Drosophila melanogaster: one gene and its partners. The protein of the gene in region 4 purifies or fractionates together with the protein of the main gene of each other region. This does not show direct contact. Each region holds a gene or a part of one and is shown on either strand. Other genes may lie near its edges.

Region 1 (3,869 bases), on a different chromosome or scaffold from region 4:
GTCATCATCAACAACTGTCAGCTCAGCTTCCCGTTCACCCGCCTCGTTGTCGGTGATGGTGGCTAGTCGGTGCTCCAGAAATCCCTCCAGCAAAGCGTACGTGCGAGTCAGCTCATCCATGGCTTCAATTGCCGAGTTGAGGCGAGTTTTCAGCGGTTCGATGGTGCCCCGATCCGCCCGATAGGGCTGGCACTTGGAGCAAGAGTGCTTACCCAGTTCGCAAACGGGCAGATCCTTGGCCTCTCTCCTCTCGAATTTAGGGGAGGCGGAGAGATTGCGGGCACGGGAGGCCACCGCCGGAAACTGGAAAATGTTCTCTTCCGTGCGACCGCACATCGCCGGCGGAGCGGTGGGCAAGGACTCATAGTGCAGGACATTCTGCCGGGATCGCGTTCGTCGGGGTTTTGGCGGTGGATGCGGCGGCGGAGGTGGCTTGTCCCACTCCATCTCGATATCGCTCAATAGGAACTTGTTTGTTTACTCTGCCCGATTCGCCACTAAAAACGCACACAAGAAAAGAATATCCGAGAATTATCAAAATCGGGAGATTGTTTATAGAAGAGGAAGACCAATGTGGAACGTCCGCCGCCAAGCACACACACACACACAAACACACACACACATACAAACGAGTCCTAAAGTGTAACGATTAAGTCCGCGAAATGTAAACAATATTTTCGAAAATCCCATTTCAGCACGTTTTCCCACATGTGCGAAAGTTTTGAATCTTTCCCAAAAATATGCACGCGTGTGGTCACTTAACCGAAACGGAGAACCGATTCGGAATGCACTGTGTTATTGTGTTTTGGGTCTTGATTACGCTTTTGGCTCAACAACTGGATGCCATCGTGCGTCGGGAGGCCCGCCGAAGAACAAATAAAAGCACGCCGCAAACCAAACTATTTATAAAACGCTGACACTCTTTTGTTTGCCTCCCCATGGCGATCGCACTACGCCACCACACACACCCAATGTGCCGCTGGCCCCCTTCTCGATTCCCCATCGCCAAGTGCGCAACACTTCCTTTATTCCACTTTTAGGTTACACGCAATTAATATTTCCAATTTATGCGAAAGTGCACGCACTCGCGAAAGAAATGTGCTGGATGGATGGATGGACGGACGTGGACCGGTGGATCAGTGGGTGGGTGGGTGAATGGGTGGATGGCTGGTGCTGGGATCAGATCATGTGTATCTGAAGTCGGCGGCCCCCATTACTTTCGCCACTTTCCGAACGTTATATCGAAACTGTTGCCACACATTGAATACACACATTTTTCTTTTCTTCGCTCGACTTTTCTTCCTGGCTGCGCTTCTTTTGTTTAATGGGTTTATGCGCAAGGTTGTCGGTCTATTTTTGGTGTTTTGTTGAAAGGAAAAACAATAACAAATTATTACTTGCACTTTTCCTACTTGCACACTCGGTCGTCCGACCCGCCGCGGAATTTTCATCGGCCACTCGCTCGCTGTCTCTTTCTCTCTCCCTCACGGATACTCGCGATTTTCCGCGACTTTGAAATTCCGTATACGTCCGTTCCGTTCGTCGGTCGAAGCTATTCTGAGCGGTACGGCGCTTTTGAACACATCGGAAAAGTTGAAAATTTTGAGATTTATTTATAGAGAGAACGGGCAGTGTTTTGATCTCTTTGCTGATTTCCAAAGGTCTCTTTGAATATAATTAATCAATGGGTTAATCAGCCCTATAGTGGATTTCTTATTGAAAAATAATAATTAAAATTCAATCACTATGTAATTAAATGTATTTTTACAATTTATGAGATAAAAATTGGGTGTACAGGTTCATACCCAATTTCTAACTCATAAATTATTATTCGAATAAACGCACCTCAAAATAGTTTTTGAAAAAGCCCGTTAAAAACATTGACTTCAATTCGTGCTATTACTATTAGCCAAGTTTACAACCATGGTTCGTGGTCAGGCTTTTATCAGCTACAGTGTGGTAAACAGTAGTTTTCCGACGAAGAGTTGGCAGTTCTGGCCGGCGAGGTTATGCAAAGCGAGAGGTTTGCATTCCAGTAAATAGTAATATTTCTGAAAGAAATGCAGTCCATTCTGTCTTCAATGAGGGCACTGGCCCTGCGCCAGAGCACGGTGGAGCCCCTCCGCCTGCTGCATCTTTCCGCCGTGAGCGAGGCGGCCCGTAAAGGAACTCGGGAGAAGGCCCGCAAGAAGAAAGTCAAGGTGGAAGTGAAGAAGGTTGGATTCATCCCGCACAACCAGCGCAACAAGAAGTAGGTTGTCAGCTCGATGTCCATAACACCGGATTTACTATCGTTCTTCTCTAGAATCAATGTGAAACGGGCGGACAAACATGTGGATGACTCCTGGAAACAGGTGCCCAAAGATGACTGCTATGTGGGGCGCTACTACCGCTGGCCAGTGTACTCGGTGCAGGAAGCTATCCAGTGCCATCGGGAGACGCATCATCCCAGCATGTACAACGTACCCAATGCTCCCCTCAATTTGGATATTGAACTCAACATGCAGGCGGAGAAGATCACACGTTTTGTGGATAACTTCCAGCGCATGGCCATGATTCCACACAAGTTTGACCACGGCGAGGAGCGGAAGATCATAGTTTTCACCAAGGGAAATGTGAGTGCAGCTTCTTAGTACAAAATCATAAAATAACATCTTGAAATTTATTTCCAGAATGAAGTCCTGGAGGCCAGGGAAGCTGGCGCCTCGCTAGTCGGCGGCGTGGAGCTCATTAAGGATATTACCAGCGGCGAGCTGCTGCTCTCCGACTACCAGTACGTCATTGCCCATCCGAATATACTGGCCGAGCTGGTGGCCCTGCGAGGCCTGATGAAACGCAAGTTCCCAAATCCAAAGAGCGAGACGCTGGGCACCAACCTGGCCGAGATGATCGTCAAATTCTCCAGCGGCATTAGTTACAGTGCAGCCAAGGATGAGTACCAGCAAAACTTTGGCCTGATCACCGCCAGTGTGGGCACTTTGGACATGGATGTCCAGAAGCTTGAGGAGAACATCAAGTTCCTACTGCAGGATATTAACACTATGAGGCCCAAGCGCGAGGGACGTTTCATTACACGTGTCCTGCTGAAGAGCCCGCCAAGCAGTGAGCAGCTGAAAATCGATCCCTTTGTCTACGTTCCAGAGATGTGGGACAAGAGCACGGCGAAGGTGAAAAGGGATGGGGCCAAGAAGCAGACAGAGCCGGCGGAACCCCAAGAAGCAGTTGCCTCCAATTAGTTAAAACAGAAGCCTATGTATTTTTGTTGATGGATTGTTTGTGCATACTTTAAACTTACATCTCCTAGAGTCCTAAACAGTCTACTTTACTTTGGCAGCTTTTAATTGCATTCAGGCCTTCTGGGTGGCGGTGCTGCGTTGTTGGTGCTGGCGCATCATCTCCAGCTGCTTGACACGGGTGTAGGCGGCGCTGGCCACCAGGACCACCACATTGGAGGTCCACCAGAGAGCCGATCGAACGTCATGGTAGTACTGAGTGGCGATCACCGTTTGAGCGCAGGCCTTGGCCGTTCCCGAGATATTATGCGTCAGGGCGGATGTGACCTGAAATATCGATCGGGCTAGATAAGCGATTAACATGTGAATTGTTTGATTACCTTGATTTCCAGCGCAGTGACAAATCCAATGGCAAAGCCACAAAGGCCACTAAGCGTCATCGCGGCCCAGAACCAAGAAGCCCACAGGTGCGGATACGTGATAATGCTCTCCAGCTCGCCATTGATGATGATCAGGGGCAGGAAGAGCAACGTGGAGTAGAGATTATTGTAGTAGCTAAGCAGCCATACCTCCTGGTTGACATAACCCAATGATTTCTTCGTCTGAATAGAAAACATGGCCAAAGCAAGCGAACTA
Region 2 (6,711 bases), about 10 Mb from region 4:
ATGCACTGCCAGGTGTTACGCAATCAGCCTTGTTCGACATCCACCCCCTTTTCTTAGTACCAAAAGCACGATCGAAATACAACCCCACCGACTGTCCTTGTGCAAAGGATATCAGTAGCTAGAGGCTACAGGCTCGGGCGACATGGAAGCCAGAACTCCAATGACTAGAGCACCCCGAAATGTGTTTATGGGCAAATTGAAGTCGCTACTAACCTTTAAGGCTTGATATGAAATGTTATGATACGTGAAAATACTTGAACTTGAAGATGGTCTTCAAACATCCTTCGTTTCTGACGATGAAACACACGATGATGACAATGATCTTGAACTCTCTGCCGATCTCGACTTGTTTCTTACAATACCTTGGGAATAATTTTGAAAGCAATCGAAAATAAGCCAAATTAAAAACGAACTTATAAGTAATGTTAAATAATGAAATAAACACCTTAGGTTCCGCACAGCGAGTGCTCCACTTGCCGCCAACCCAAATCATTCATTCGAAATCCACTCCACGGTTCATAAGTTTATTTTGGTGGTCGCTCAAAGGAAGCCACTCATAAATTTGATGTACGTACAGGGGTGAGCAGATGATACCCGGATGCGGAGGCGTCGCCCTCTGATGCGGTTCACCATGATGCGATCCAATCCGATCCGATCCGATGCTCGCTATCGCTCTGGTCGCTCCTGCAGTCCATGGTCCAAGTGCCACCCTGGTACGCTTTGAATTTTGTATAATTGTTGCCTTGTTGCCTTTTTGGTTAGTCATAGTTCCATATAATACGGTATTACATAGTATATAGTAAAGTATATTATGTATAATGCATGTGTATATGTGTATATAAATTTAGTTAACATTAATTCACCAAATACTCAATTTCTCTCCATCTTCTTTTCGTGGTCTTCACCCACTCAACGTTAGTCCACTTTTTCATATCGATGCCATTGCGCGCTCGTGTTCAATTTTATAAAAGTTCAGTTGCCACTCTTTGTTGTGTTCGAAACGAGATGGGTTAATTGAGATTGGTAAGTCGGGTGTTGTGGGCTGGGTGTTCGGTGCGTGGTGTGGGTAGTGGGGGGGAGTTGCGAATAATGGGGGCATAGGGTCTGACCATTAGTCTTTGGCACGTTCGCATCGACGATAGCGATGGAGCTGATATGTAAACGGAGTTTCCTCGCTTTGTGCTTGTGAGTGGAAGGGGAGCGGGAAGTGACACCATATTGGTAATTGCACTACATGGGCGTCTCTCTCATGGATACTAGCTATGAACGAGGATCGGACTGAGATCTCCTCGAAATCACTGGGCTTCAAGTGGAGTGGGGGCTCTGGGCGAAGTCGTCTGGGTGCGGTAACAACAATTCGAGCTGGTCAGTGGCTAAGTCTATGGTAAAACTCTTGGCTAAAACATTCCTTGATTTAGACTGGCCGGCCGGCAATGGGGTAACGCGGAGATTTTCGCTTTTTGGCATCTTTGTGCAATCGAATGCTATCAATGGAATCTACTATGCTGAGATTGGTTTCGTTAGTTAGTTCAATTCAAGTCAACAAACAATGCGCTAAGGTTGTAACGTTTGCTAATTATATATCAATTATATATACTTTTAGGTTTCTTTCGCTCTAAGGTTTGCGTATTTTGATAAATTTGTAATATATTTATAAGGCCGCTTGGGGCAACTGCTATGAGAGTGCTAAAATACTCATACGGGCTGGCGATAGCCGAAGATCTAGATAGATGCAGGGGTCTTAGGGACAGTTACACTACGGATAATTGAAGCAAAATCTTCCCGTTCTACCTAGACTTTCTAAAATCTGGGGTCCCAGAACCAGAGTCCTCCTCGTCTCGTCTCCTCATCTCACCGAATCGTTTTCTCTGCATCTGCACCTGGGAGGACTGTTTGTCTTTCTAAGCTTGTTTTTGTCTAAATTCATTAAAAACTCACTCGGCAATCTTTGCACAATCTCGATATCGTTTTCGTTCTCGTTTTCGTTCTCGATCTTGATTTTTGAAACACGTGCACATGTGGGGGCTGTGGTATGTTTGGAGTCTTATGTGGTAGTCGTTAATCAAGTTAGAATAAATCGAAGGTACGAAAAATACAAAGTGGATTCGTATTAAATATATCCAGTACAGTTAGGGGTTACGAGTTACGAATAAAACGCGTATTACGTAAACAAAATTGCATAACAACTTAGAATTATGAGGGCACAGCAATCGAGTGTGTAAACTATGTATGTACAGCTCAGGCGGAGCAGGTGAATGGCGAGGGACAGGGTCAGATACAGGCTGTTGCCTAAACTAAATGTAAACGTAATCGTAAGACGTAAAAGTAAAAAATAAATAATAAATTAGGATGCAAGATGCAGGGGTGCGGGGGGCAGTGCAAACGGAACGGAACGGAATGGAACGGAAACGGAAAAACAGAAAACAAACGAAAAGTGAAATGCACGCCAACTCGGATGCTTTAAGGGGCGCTTACTTCGCCGCTGCGGAGGCGGAAACGGAACCGGGCGTGGCCGACAGCGCCATCTTGGAGAGCGTGGCCAAGGAACGTTTCGGGAACGTGTTGCTGCCGTCCGACGGGTCCGAGAACAGCTTCCGGAAGCTACAATGCAGAAAGTGAATCGAGAGCTCTACGCCGATTGAATGCCACTTACAATTTGCGTATTCCCGACTCGGAGCTCTTCTTCCAGGGCGCATCGTCCGGCTCGTAGGGCAAAGGGCCCTGCACGGGCGCATCGTGTCCAGGTGGCCTGAAAAGCGATGCACTATGTATGTACTTAAGTAATCATAACTAGGGATAGTAATTAGCTATAAAAACTCAAAAATAATCAACATATAGATCCGAATCCAACGATTTGTTTGACTCCCAATTGTGCCATTTACCAGTTACCTGCTGACCTTGCGAAAAAACACGCAAATATATACGTTTAAGCTCTGAATCACCTGCCAATTAAACGTTTGCATCATAGGGTCTATTTGAATATTGTTAGCACTGAGCAACAACAAAAGAATGACTCAGGCTGAAAATGCTTGTTCGTTAATCACTTTGACTCAAGCGGTCGTTCATAAATTCTTGTTTTCTCTGGTGAGGGACCACAAAACTAAAGGATGTAACAGAAATGGGCTCACTCACGTTTCTCCGGCCGCTGGTGGCTCCAGCTCGTTCGCCTCGGCAGCCGCCTCCTCCTCGTCGTCGTCATCATCGTTGTCCGCCACGTGACCATCGTCGTCCTCATCGCTATCGTCGGAGCTGGAGAAGTGACGCTGCCGCTTGCCCTTCGCCTGGCTTGGTGGCTTCAGCTCCGCCAGCTGCTCGTTGAGGGTGTCGATGGTGGTCAGCAGCTCATCGCGCTCGCTAATCAACTCTTTCAGCTCGCGCGTGGTGTACCGCGGCCGGTTGGGATCGTTCTGGCCATCGTCGTACGAGGCCACCAAATCCTCATTCTCCTTTTCGGCCAGGCCCAATCGCTTGCGCAGTTGGTTGATCTCCCGGCTCTGGTCCTGCAGCTGGGCAAGAAAGTCGGCGCGCTCCTCGCACAGCGTCTTCACTTGGGCCTGCATCAGCTTGTGGCGGCGCCGGGTATCTCGCTCTGATGCCTTCAGACGCTCCGCCTGGATATTGAGCTGGGAAGGGTTAGTTAAGAATACGTTAGCTGGGAATATGAGCACCTATCCTTAAGGACACTCACGTGCTCCAGCTCGCTGTACTTGTCCTGCAGCTCACGCTCGCGGTGCTTCAACTCGTCGCGCTGCTTGTATATCTGCTCCTTCAGCCGTTGCAGCACTTGAGTATCCGAAAGAGCGCTGTGCAGCTCGTGGTTGGTCATGCTGATAATGCTCTCGGTGAGACTGGCCCCCAGGCCGGAGCTCTGGGCGGACGATGACTGCAGATCCTGAGTCTGCTTTACCAGCCGCTTGTTCTCGTCTTGCAGCGAGGAGACGAGATCGACCAGCTCGTTGGTCTCGCTGCGCCACTGCTCTTCGATCAGCTCCAGCTCCTTGTCGAACCGCCGCCGGAACTCGGCCTTCTCCAGCTTCTCGCTCTCCAGCTGGGCCACCTTATCGCGCAGCTCCTGGATGGTGGCGTTCTCGCGCTCGTTCTTCGTGGCCAGCGCCTCCAACAGCTCCAGGGTGTTGATGATCTTGGGCATCAGCCCGCTGACGGCGTCCGTGCCGAAGCGGTCCATGATCCGCTCGTACTCCTTGCCAATGTCGGAGGCCAAGTCGTACACATCGACCACGCCGATGTCGTCGATGGCGTCCAGGACCATTTCACCCATCTCATTGAGGTGAAAGCCGGGCATCCAGGTGGTCGCTCAGATAATCTGTGACTCCTGCCAAGCGCTGTATCACTTGTTTACTTGCTCACACTTGCTCACTGGACTCTGTGTTCACTGAAGACCAGCTTCAGTTGTCGCCTCTTTCCACGGTGTCCTGCTCCTCGGAGTTGCTTCGGGAATCGCTGCACCAGCTGACAGGGATTTTTCTTTCGCTAGCAGGACAAGTGTGCGTGTGCGTGTACGTGCGCCAGGTGTTGGTTTTCCAAGTGCTTTAAGGGAGGGGGGGAATCCGCAATCCGAAGTACGGAATTCGCACTTCGCAATTCACAGTTGGCGCACACAGACTGCACAGTAGTGTGCGTGGGAGTGGCAGTGCTCACTTCATTCACTCTAGTTGTTACTGCCGCCGAGTCGCTTTTCGCTGCCGATTCCCACATAAACAATCCGACTTTCCGCAATTTATTTGCACAATTTTTGCTGAACCGAACTGGAACTGATGAGTAACGAATAACTGGTTCGCGGGCGCCCATATGTGCGAACCAGTTCCCAGATGAGCAGTCGGTTGCGCAGTCTGGTAGCGCTTTGTGCTGGCTGGTCAGTGTTGGGCAACGCCAATTCGTTTGGCGCCAAATGAAGAGCAGCTTAAGCGAGCAAAATGAGCGTAAGTGCCAAAATGTTAAGCCTTAAACGAAATTTTACTATCCAAAAGTCAACAGGCTGGGCCACAAAGTAAATTCATTGTTTTATTAATAAGTTCTTGTTTACAAAATTGTATAAATAGTTTTGTTTTCTTGGTTTTCAGTTTCGTTTGGTGTGTGCTTCCTTGTAAATTGTGGTTACTGGGTCTGGATAGGCAATTAATTGTATTTTACACGTACAGTAGCACTAACACTAACTAAATGGTTTGTGTGCCACATTTACACAGTTATGCAGCGGCGACTAGCAAGTTTCTTCTCTTTACACCATTTCAAATCATTGGTTTGGTTTCACTGGTTCATTAAGTACATAAATTAGCTACAGTTCCTTCAATGCTTTCCTCGGGGGAACAATCTAAGCGATATAAAAAAATAATACACAAGTTCTCGGCTAGGCGTAACAATTTCGATTTCTTTTCTGTAGCTCTTTCGTTCTTCACTTTTGACTTTAGGGACTAGATTAGGAACCACATTTGTACATTTCATTTTCATGCGTTCTTAGCTGCTCGATCTCTAATTAAGTAAGTAAGTAAGGTCTAGTTTTGTAAAGTAAATGTACATTCAAGATAGTCACCTTCTTCTTCTTATTCTTTTTGGTAGCAGCTCGTAGGAAAACTTAAAAATAAACACGTTACATGTATAGAAAAAAAAAGGCAATAAAAAAATAGGCGACGCAAGACATTTTAAAATGAGATGAATCGCTATGTTTCAGTTAGGCTGGCAAATAAATAGTGGGTCGCGAGTGGTTATGACCGGTTATTTCAGCAGGTCCTTTGGCAAGCATTTTCGATGGCAAGGCCCCAATCTTGGTTTCTGTTTTGGCACTCAAACTGGGCGTAAATAAATATATATGGTAAAATTAATGTTACAAAGTGGTTGCGTCAATCCATGGTAGCAAGTATAAAATTAGCAAACTAGACAAAATACTAGCACCCCTCCTGGGGATCCTGATTCTGCTGCAGGGCCAGCTGCCTCAGGAGCTCGGAGGTGACTTCCTGGCGCTTCGAGCGCTTCGCTGGCGGCGGAGAGGAGTGGGGCGGTGTATCTGGCGACGACAGGCCGCCCACCACGCCAACATCCCTGACCAAGGCATCCTGTGAGTCATCTTCGTCTACATCGTCTTCCTCGTCTTCGTCGGGTAGCGTCAGGTCCGTTATGGCCTGGTCACGGTTCTCGCCATCGTCCTCCGACTGCTCGTCCTCCCTAGACCGCCCATCATCTATGTCCACTATCGAGATGATGTCGCTGTCGCTTTCGCTTTCGCCCGCAGGACCCCCGACTAGTTCGAACCGCCCCTTGGCTGCGGACTAGCTGGTGCTGGCCTGCGTCTGCAACACATTGGCGGAAGCGGACGATGAGGCACTAGCGGCGGTCACGGCGACGGGCGAGAGCACACTGGCTCCAGGGAAGTGGCACGGGCACGCAGGATTGGGCATGTGATTCGCCTGACTGTTCAGCTTGCGGGTGAGCGTCTGCCAGTATTCGATTTGGGCGTTGATCAGGTCGATTTTCCGCTTGCTCTCCTCGATCCTCAGCGAATTCATCAGCTCCTGGTGCTGGCTCCTCGTCCCACCGCTGCCACTTCCTCCGCTGCCCGACGTGTGTGCCCCGCCGATCCCCAGGCCCACGCCGCTGTTGTTGGCACTGCTCCCGCCGCTTCCGGCTCCGGATCCGCTGCTGTTCAAGGCGCTGCACACTGTGCCCGCCACTGCCAGTCCGTTGTACCCGTTGAAACTG
Region 3 (5,027 bases), on a different chromosome or scaffold from region 4:
TGGGTTCTTGGCGTTGGGTTCACAAGAGCAGAAAAAATATTTAATTGATAAATTCAGCAACGATAGCTTTACTGGCTGATTTAAGTGGATACAATTAAAACTAGTTTCTCTTTCTCTATTTGCGCAGTTCTTTCGATTTATTTGTTATAATTAAATTAATATGATTTATTTTAACCGATTTATTTGCACACAAAAAATAGTGTAAAAATTTTTTAAATATTGAAAAAAAAAAAACGTATAAACGCTAGTATTTCGCAGCTTTTTAAATTTGCCTTTAAATTGAGCTTCTGATTAATAGCGCCTGTTTTTTATGCCGGCAAAGTCCTTCCTTTTTTGTGTTAAAGATATCCTCTTCCATTCTCATCTGGTGTTTTCGATGTTTCTCCCTTAGGCTTTTTGGCTCATCTTAACTCACAGCGTTCCTTTTTAGTTTCACTGTCTCCATTCGTTTTGCCTTCCATAAATAAAATAAATGTAGGTGAAAATATACATAAATAATGGGCACAAGCGCGGCTTTTTTTATGAAGTGTTTGAATGTGCGAGTGTCAACCCAGGGCACTTGAAAGATGGTGGGGAGGGGGGCTTGTGATGGGGGCGACGTCTGTGAAAATTATAAAACAGACGACGCAGCCATTCTGGCGGGGCAAAGATATTATGGCCTCTGAAGGCTGAGAAGGGGACCCCTGCCATGTAGGCGTGTGTAAATAGCAAAAACCTAGTCGGGCGTACACAAGCCAAGTCATCATGGAAAATGGCTAAACAGGCAAAAGAATAAGGGCCAAAGAAGATAGAAAGATAACAGAGTGGAAGGCATGACAAATACGTTTTCTCTGCCTTTTTTTTATGGCATATACATATATGCCCCGAGGTAGTGGGACGTATAAAGTTTGACCTCCAATCAATAAATCACATTAAAAGGGGATCTTTCAAGAAATGAAGAGAATGACAATGGACAAAGATGGCCAATAACTGACCCATAATTGTTCATTGTCACGTCATTGTCCGCGTCAGTTGCTCAAGGCACATGAGAATAGTATCCAGCAAGAAATGTATTTATTCTTGGCCTCTTTTTCGTTCTTTTCCGCTAATTATTGTGTAATATTAATCTTATTAATAAATAACAAGGAATCATAGTATCCATATACTAAGAAACATCTCTCTAATAGCTAAGAAGTATCCTTTTCTTGTCACCTAGATCTCGCTTTTCTCCGCAAGCTAGATATACAGCCCAAGTATCCTTAATAAACACCGCACCGATAAATGACTGTTACTCATAGTATTCACCTAGAAAGGATGATGTACTTTTCCCCGAAATGAACACTTCGCCATTAAATGGGTGAGGAGTATCCTTTTTGTATCACTTGGCTCTGGATTTTCGCCGCTTTTCTCTCTTCATTTTCTTCTGGGCCAGTCAGGTCTCATCATCCGCTTGCGCTTTTTTCTCAGCTTTTGGCTTGATTTCCTTTTTTGTCGCTACAGCCAGAGTCCTTTTGCTCCGCGCTTGCCTTTTACTAGCCCAGACTGCGCCCACAAAGACGTGTACATATATGTGTTTTTCCAGCTGCCAAAAGGCTGCGCTTGGCTTCTTCGCAGCCAGTGTTTTGTTTTTGGCTTCGTCAGCCAACTTTAGCTATTGACAGACCTTGCCACCTCGCGTCCATGTCCTTGCTGGAAAACATTTCGCTTTCAGCGCTCATTTTGCAGGATGTCGGGAAAGTGATGTAAAAAATATACACAACAATTTCAAGATATCTTCTGTGGCCTATACTGCGTGCCCAAAAGCCATAATTATCACGCGTTCACATGGCGTATACGAGATTTTGCTGTTTCGCGTTTAAACTCTTAACCGAAATTTATGCTTTCGCTGTTGCTAATTGTACATTTTGTTGCTCTTGCTGTTTATAATGTAAAATTTATTGTGTTTGTGCATGTTTATTATCGCCACGCCGTTACGCGCCCTCATATGGATTTGTAACACGCCCCCCTACACCCCCTCTTTAAACATCACTGTGCATTTATGTTTTACAGCGTCTGCAAAAAATATTATCAAAAGTAATAAATGAATAACAAAATACAAAACAAACGCCATCAATAATTCATGGGAAAAAAAACAACACAAACAGAAATAACCAAAAATAAAAGCTTGCGGCGCGTCGTTCTTTAAATATTTTATAAATTAATTCTGCAAACAGCGTAAGCGAAATTAAAAAATACAACAAAAACATCAGGAATTAATGTAGTGCCTAATGCAATGTGTAATAAAACCGTGTAGACCAGGAGGTGCGCCAGATCATTAAATACCAGCAAACACTGTTAGGTGAAAAAAAAAAAAAAATTATGAAATACAAATTTATATTTATTATTGAATAAATATGCAGAGTAAATATTACATATGCTAACCGTGAAAACAAATTGAATTATACAGCAAATAAAACAACAAATACTTTTCGTCGTGTTTTCGAATGTTTGGCTATTAAAGCGCTTACAGCTTAATTGGGCGTTACAAAGTGGTAAGTAAAAAAATAAACACTTTTGATAAACAATTATTTTTGAAAATATAAATTATTAAAATGATTTTAGTCAAAAGTTTCATAGAATAAGAAGATGCTTTACATATTCATAGTGTTATATTTTGATATATGTCCGTTTCTCTTTTTATTTTTTTAGCCCACATTAATCAAACGACTATCTCAGTAAATTTGCACAGTATTATTATAGTTTAATTCATCGCACAAAAGACTCCTTAATCTTTCATGCAGCGATCTTTTAATATCCTCTAACTATTATCAAAACATATCAAAAATTGTAATTAAGATACCATTGCATTTCCCTTGGTAAATATATCACAGTTTTTTCTAATTTAAACACACGTACACAACGTCGTTCATGGCTTTATCAGCCAACTTTGCTGATTCAAAGATATCTGTCGACCCTCATCCATCAACAAAAACCCAACCACAAATGTCACATGCAAATTCGGTTCGCCTTGTAACGGAAGTGCAAGCAAAAAATAGCGAAAGATTTTTATACATAACTTTTTATGCTACTCATTGTTGGGAGCAGAAACTTCAACCTCCTTCCAACGGTTTGAGGTGGTGCTTGCTGCACTTTTGCGGCGAGGTGAGCTGTACGGGTGTGTGCACGTTTTTGCATTTGCACCACTTTATTTCAATTTTATTCGCCATTTTCTTCGTTTGCGTGGTACATTTCCTGGGGACGAGACGCAGCAGTGACTTTTGCTCGGCAGCTGACTCGACTCCACTTTCCGTTTACCCTGGGCTGCCCTCCTCATTACCCTCTTTACATTTCTAATTACACGCTCATTTTAAACTTGAAACATTTGCAAACGGATGCCTGGGTCTGGAGGAGTCTGCGATTTTCAGTAACAATTTTCCATTTCCCATGCCATGAGGCTGCAAAAATGTTGGGTCACAAACGTAATAGACCAGATTTTCCTGTGACTGCTAAAGAAACCTAGCTGGCCGACCACAAATGTCTGGCATCTAGGGCTTGATTTGGAGACAAGTCTTGCATTTGACAATTTTCTTTCATTTTGGGGCCTGAAAACATTTTCCTACAATGTTCTCAATATATTCCACTATTTTCGAGTTCATTTTAAGACCAATTGATATTACTAGTAGTATTTAATCTTAAATGTTCGCTTAGGGAATAGTAATTTTTAATTGCCGTTTTTATACTTAGAACACAAAAAGTAGACACTGTAATTTGCGAACCCTGGACATACCAAACGCGTTTTCGTTTTGTTAAGTTACTAAAAAATTAAAACAATGCTGCATGTCCATTTTGCATGTGAGGAAACATTTGGCGCGCAAGTAAATGTGCATGTGGGTGAGATGGTTTTTGCCGTTTCTAGACTGCTCTTTGTTTGAGTTGTGTTTTAATTTCCATATTACGTGCTGGCCAGAGATTTATCAATGCGATTTATATAAGCCATAATTTCTCCATTTCACCCAGAAGTAAGTTAGTAAATTACTGCAATCGCTTGCAACATCAATGGGTAAAATTTAACAGCAATAACCTTACATAAGATTTCACTATTTTCCTTTTTTTATAATAGTTTGAAAAATTTATATTATTAATTGTTTAATTAGAAATAGAATAAGTATGGATTAGAAAGTAATAATGAAGTGAAAGGAAGCGGCGTTGACTTACGTTGCCATTTGACCTTTTCAGGCCCCTTGAAGGGCAATTCTAACACACTGTCTCTCTCACAGGAAATGTTTATAACATGTCCTCCTTTGACAACTTATTCAATGAAAAGTTTCAAATAGTAGCTTATGAATAGTAAAAGAAAGATTATGAAATCTATTGGTAAGCGTTTAAAATGTAATTGAAATATTGCTCATACGCAGCATGTGCCCATTTATTGAAACTGGAAAGAATGCCAAGTTGGTTCATACCCAGTTGGCCCAATCAGGCCAATTCAATGACATAAATCTTAAGGCAATAAAGCAAAGAATGTCGCAGCATGAGACTATTATATTGTGCATACTGAGCTGGTAAAGCAAATCTCGTAAATGTACTAATATAAAATTGGTATTAATGGGCTGTCGCCTTAGGTGAAATTACCTTTAAGAATAATTGTATAAACAAGCAAGGGGATAGGAAGTTTAATAAGAAAGTATAAACTTTATAATTGAGAAAACTATTTAAGCCTATTTAAGCTTTTTTTATCTAACCTTTATCTCAACTTTTTCCGTTCTATGGTTCTACTTTTGCGTCTTTAAATTTAGCAATTGCCGCACTTGTAGGAAAGTTTCAATTATAAGTCAGTGTGCCAAAAATTGTTTCACAAACTCTAATTAATTTATAGTGCTTCACAACTCGTAGCTTAAATGGTGCAGTTGATAAATTGGCGAGATAAAATTATAATAATGCTGATGTGGAAATAAAATATGCAAAATACTTATTGTACAACTCGTTCCTATTTAATGATATCTTTTCTCAGTTACTATTAAATATGTTAATCTGCGCAAAGCGGCACTAAAAAAAATACACCAACACGC
Region 4 (5,037 bases):
ACTTGCTCTGTCTGCTCCGCTGGGCAATCAAACTAATCGCCAATTCATATTATTATTAAGGTAACTAACCCAGATTAGAACAGACACTCGAACACACGCACACACCAGCCACCAACACCACTTGGCACATCCTAGTCATATCATCAACTTCCATCGCTCATCTCCACTTCCATTTCTTTATCCACTGGTCATGTTTCGTTTTCATTTGCTTGAAAAGATCCAGGCGAGATCCTCCTTTATCCACAACACCGTCACCTCATCTCGATTATATATACATATAAATATATATATATATGTTCTGAAATATATATTTCCCAACTCGGAGCCACCTTATTTATCATTGTACTAACCCCAAATCCTTGGAAGGATTTAAACCCACTTGAAATAAAGATATACAGTCGATTAATCTCGTTCTACACATAATTGCAGGCTCCACGGCTCTGGGCTTCTACACGCCCATGAAGGGCACGGCGATGGACAACCTATTCCAGCTGGGTGTCACCCGATACGCCCTGCCCGAGAGCAGCAGCAGTGGGAGCAGCAATGGCAGCCACAGTCCAGGCAGCAACGGGAGCAGTCCAGCCGGAGCTGCGGGCAGCCGGTTGATGTTCAACGGGAATGGCAGCATTATGGGCATCGGCGAGGGACTGATCAAGGAGGGCGACTTGGCGGCAACGGAAGCAGGACCTGGAACTGCAGATGGAGCAGGTGCCTCCAAGAAGGGTTCAGCTGTGGACGAGGATGATTACCATCTGACGGCGACGCCGGGCGCCGAAGTTGTGTACAGCGAGGGTACACAGAAAACGGATTTGCTATATTAGGTCGTCCTGCCAGCCAAAAAACCGGAGCGTCTAGCTCTTTTTCTACCGGTTTCCACCAAACTCCAAACCTTCCGAGCATAACAACCTACCACATCCTGATCGTTCCCCTAATTGAAAAGCGTGCACTTAGGTGAAATATCAACTTCGGTTAGACGCGAAAACAGTAACGAAGGAAAGAAAAATAAAAACAACAAGGCAACGTAAACCAAGTATGGCAAGAAATCCATAAAGATACGTATATAAATAGATATTATTTGTAAGTTTGTAAGCCTAGAGATCCGATGTGTATGTGTACAACAGCAAGCGTGTGTGTCTGTCTTCTTTATAAATATATATATATGGTTTTTTTTTTTTGATAAATTAATAATTATATTATTGTAATGTATCTACATACGGCACTGAATGAACAACTTTGCTGCTGCAATTGTATTTGTATTTGTATTGTGTATTCCATTTACGGCATTTTGATAGTAAATATACAACAACAACAAATCAACGTATTTCCGACTGCATCCCGAAGGTTACTGAAACCTTAATCCACGAAGTACGCGACGAGCGGTTAGTCCCGCCCGAGTATTAACTTAATGGATTCTAACGATCCGATCTTGTGACCCATCATCATCCCTTTTCGCGACCCTTCCAAAACGAAAATGAAGAACATTCTAAGCTCCGCTTGCCCATTCAGCGGAAGAAAGCAAAGGAAAATGTAACATTTGCCTCATAATTATTATATACATTTAGCGCTTATTGAATATTTTTTACAATTGTATTCCGTAAATAAATATAAAATACATCAACATCTAGTCGCGTGTTTTAAGTTAAAGGAAGTTAAGGCCAAAGCAAAATGTTAGCAACAGTTTTTGTTAAAAGTTAACATATATAATAATGGTAATTTAAATATTCAAATCTATGAAGTGACTTATTTTATAAGTCCACTTATGTTTGTTATATTTAATTGGTATTTAGAAAAGGATTCATTTTAAATTAACACCGTTGAGGGTTCAATTTTGGTAGTGCGTCTTTGCTAACCATGCCGAGTGGGATCAAGTCCTTGCTAAGTTAGGATGTTGTCTTAGCTAACTGTGCCATCCCTGGTCGGGGTGTGTCTTAGCTAACAATTACGTGTCGATAGATATAATGCTATCGATATGACAGAGTGTCGGGAACAATCGATAGCATTACTTCGATATCGGTACTAGTGCCACCTCCAGTTTTGTGATTGTGTCAAAAATACAGGGTTTTATTGTTGCACTAGCAATTTAATCCGAGGAATATAAATTTTGTGTGGAGTTATGTTCGAGACGTCGTTGCCAGCGATTCAAGAGGCGAGCGGTCACACGTGTATGTGTTTCACTGGCGGTGCGGGCGCCAACTCCGCCAAAAAGCGTACTACTTTTAACCTTAGTTGACATTGAAATGTACCCGCTTAGTTGGATGTCCACGATGGTGCGTGTGTGTGCGTATATGTGTGCTATGCGGCGTCTGTGTGCGCGAGTGTGTGTGTGGGATTGCAAAGGAGGATGGGAGAAACGAGAGCAGAGCAAAAACAAAAACAAAAGGAACCTGCTGCACATAGTCGGTGCATGCGAGCGTGCTTATGTGTGTGTGCGTGCGTGCTAGCAAAACAACTGCAAGAAATCAGCAACAGTAGTAGAAGAAGAGAAGCTGTATCACTGATAAGGAGGCTAAACAACAACAAAAACAGCAACGATAATGTGCACCCTTTCGAAATGCAAACAAAACAAAGCGTTGTAGTTGTGTAATCATTCGTTGTGAACACACCACACACACACACACACACAACACTTGTTTAATAATACATTTTAATTCTATTATTTTTGATTTAATTTTTGCCTGTTATTCAAATCGATCTGTGTTTTTGCAGTTGGCATTCGTTATTAATTAAATCAGCCGCCAACAGCTGAGCGAGAGAGCAATCGAGAGCGACAGGAGAGGATCCACTTCCAATCGAATCGGGTGGAATCGAATAGCAGGGGCTTGGTAATTAAAAGGAAGACCGAACTGAACTGAACTAAACTGAAACGGAACGAAGCGAAGCGAAGCGCGGCGAGGCGGCAAGAAACGAAAAGAAAAGAACGAAAGTCGGCAGAGTCGGAAAGTCGGCAAGTCTGATTGTCGGCAAAGTCGCAAAGTCGGAGAGTCACAGTCTCAATCGCAGTCGGCGAGAGATTCCACTCGTGTCGCACGTCCGTTCGTTTCCACATTGTCGTTATAAAAATAGCAACGCCTTAAACGATCGCATCAACCTCATCAACAGAACACCACCAGAAATCACCGCCCCCTCCTACGCCTCAATCGCCATCGCCACCGCATCCCATCCCCATCATCTTCATTAGCAGGCAGCCTGACAGAGTAACTAACTGATCTTGATTGCGACCATAATCACCGTCATCATCATGTAATCCTTCACTAACCAATTGATTTCCGCTCGTCCACCAAATAGATTCCAAACTGCCGTTTCGGCAGCCGGCAAGATTTCACGAAATCTAATGGCCAAGGACGAGGAGGATGATCTGCTGCCCGACAAGGATGCGGCCAAGGGCTTCTATGCCAAATACGAGCCCAAGGAGATTCTGGGCAGGTAAGAATCGAACTACACTTGCCGTGATCTCAAACCTCTTATTAAATCCTTTTAAATTCAGTTGAAGTATTATTGATCCTGCACTTAACCATTCAAATACGTTTCTTTCTATTTACTTTGCGTAGTTAATTTTGCAAATTTAAGATCATAGAAACATTGATACTTGTATCCTCAGAAATCACTAGAACGTCCAAATATTGATTGTTTCTGCTTTCCCAACCTCTTACTGCCAAGTCTGCAGTAATGCAGTTTGGGCTAAATGGTGCCAAGTGAGTCAGCCTCATCAAGCTTCCATGGCATGGAGCAATGGCATGGGCTGCTTTTCAAGCGGCGCCTGTCTGCCGGCCTACTCACGCCACAACGAAGATCAGAATTTGCCAAGCAAATAGCAGAGACTAAGCGAAAACAAGGGCTAATTACATATTACAATTCTAGGGATTAGAGATTAGATAAATACCCGATCATGGCAATGTCAAGTGCAGCAGAAGCAGAGCTCTTTATCTACATGCAATGTTTGTCTTACAGGGGCATCAGTTCGACCGTGAGGCGATGTATCGAAAAGGAGACGGGCAAGGAGTTTGCCGCCAAGATCATCGACTTGGGCGCCACCACAGAGTCAGGCGAGACGAATCCATATCACATGCTGGAAGCAACCAGACAAGAAATCTCAATACTGCGCCAGGTCATGGGGCATCCCTACATAAGTTAGTCTCACATAGCACCCACATGTACTTAATTCCACCACTAACCATCTACATTATCGTGCACAGTTGATCTGCAGGATGTGTTCGAGTCAGATGCATTTGTTTTCCTCGTCTTCGAGCTGTGTCCCAAAGGTGAACTCTTCGACTATCTGACCTCTGTGGTGACGCTATCCGAGAAGAAGACGCGCACCATTATGCGACAAATCTTTGAGGGCGTCGAGTACATACACGCGAAGAGCATTGTCCATCGGGATCTTAAGCCCGAGAATATCTTGCTGGACGAGAACCACAACGTTAAGATCACGGATTTTGGCTTCGCCAAGCAGTTGCAAGAGGGCGAGAAACTTACAAGTAATTATAACACAGCATCCTTCTGTATTCGCTAAGCTAAACTATATGTACTTTCCCCCTATTAGATCTGTGCGGAACGCCGGGTTATTTGGCTCCCGAAACGCTCAAGTGCAACATGTTCGAGGGATCCCCCGGCTACTCGCAGGAAGTCGACATGTAAGAGCGAATAAACTAGCCACTTATTATTACACCTTTTTTTGGCTCACTTAAATTATAGAAGCAATTTAAGCACAAAAAGTATCACATTTATTGTAATACGAATTGTCTGCTCAAATTACTAAATTGCTTATGTTAACAGCTAATTTTATTATTAAAAATTTTTGCTTACATAAAAAAAGAAAGGTCTAAACTTTTGTATCGATATTAGACCCGTTTTCCTTTTTTTTTTGTTTTATAGACGCAAATTTTGCTGATACATTTCATTAACTAGTGTTCCTCGTGTCAGGCGATTTGTTTTGATCTTTAGGTGTGCATTTTAATGAATGAGTCAGAAGCAGAAAGGCATAATAATCTGAAATCTGAGTAGTTCCGATACCGACGTCTATATTTCTTCGGTTCA

Evidence for each region.
Region 1: the proteins of PhKgamma (region 4) and mRpL1 purify together in Drosophila melanogaster (affinity purification with mass spectrometry, with the first as the bait; one large-scale study listed by BioGRID). This does not show direct contact.
Region 2: the proteins of PhKgamma (region 4) and Rilpl purify together in Drosophila melanogaster (affinity purification with mass spectrometry, with the first as the bait; one large-scale study listed by BioGRID). This does not show direct contact.
Region 3: the proteins of PhKgamma (region 4) and bru3 purify together in Drosophila melanogaster (affinity purification with mass spectrometry, with the first as the bait; one large-scale study listed by BioGRID). This does not show direct contact.

What each region holds. Positions count from the first base shown.
Region 1 is NT_033777.3:8,299,452-8,303,320, forward strand, and holds mRpL1 (mitochondrial ribosomal protein L1), read left to right. Parts: upstream 1-1,988; 5' UTR 1,989-2,060; coding exon 2,061-2,251; intron 2,252-2,305; coding exon 2,306-2,615; intron 2,616-2,672; coding exon 2,673-3,236; 3' UTR 3,237-3,319; downstream 3,320-3,869. Other genes in the region: CG9626 (uncharacterized protein), read right to left, coding at 1-447; nac (neuronally altered carbohydrate), read right to left, coding at 3,348-3,560, 3,614-3,869.
Region 2 is NC_004354.4:1,391,136-1,397,846, reverse strand, and holds Rilpl (Rab interacting lysosomal protein like), read right to left. Parts: upstream 4,794-6,711; 5' UTR 4,304-4,793; coding exon 3,689-4,303; intron 3,624-3,688; coding exon 3,133-3,623; intron 2,765-3,132; coding exon of another isoform or gene 2,750-2,764; coding exon 2,654-2,749; intron 2,602-2,653; coding exon 2,476-2,601; coding exon of another isoform or gene 2,472-2,475; exon of another isoform or gene 2,295-2,471; coding exon 2,162-2,294; 3' UTR 510-2,161; downstream 1-509. Other genes in the region: CG32813 (uncharacterized protein), read right to left, coding at 6,282-6,711. UniProt on the Drosophila melanogaster protein: May have a role in lysosome distribution by interacting with Arl8.
Region 3 is NT_037436.4:13,795,507-13,800,533, reverse strand, and holds the start of bru3 (bruno 3), read left to right. Parts: upstream 1-2,006; 5' UTR 2,007-2,510; intron 2,511-5,027.
Region 4 is NC_004354.4:11,693,118-11,698,154, forward strand, and holds the start of PhKgamma (phosphorylase kinase gamma), read left to right. Parts: upstream 1-2,019; 5' UTR 2,020-2,162; exon of another isoform or gene 2,163-2,267; intron 2,268-2,706; 5' UTR 2,707-3,194; intron 3,195-3,285; 5' UTR 3,286-3,331; coding exon 3,332-3,423; intron 3,424-3,948; coding exon 3,949-4,127; intron 4,128-4,193; coding exon 4,194-4,478; intron 4,479-4,543; coding exon 4,544-4,634; intron 4,635-5,037.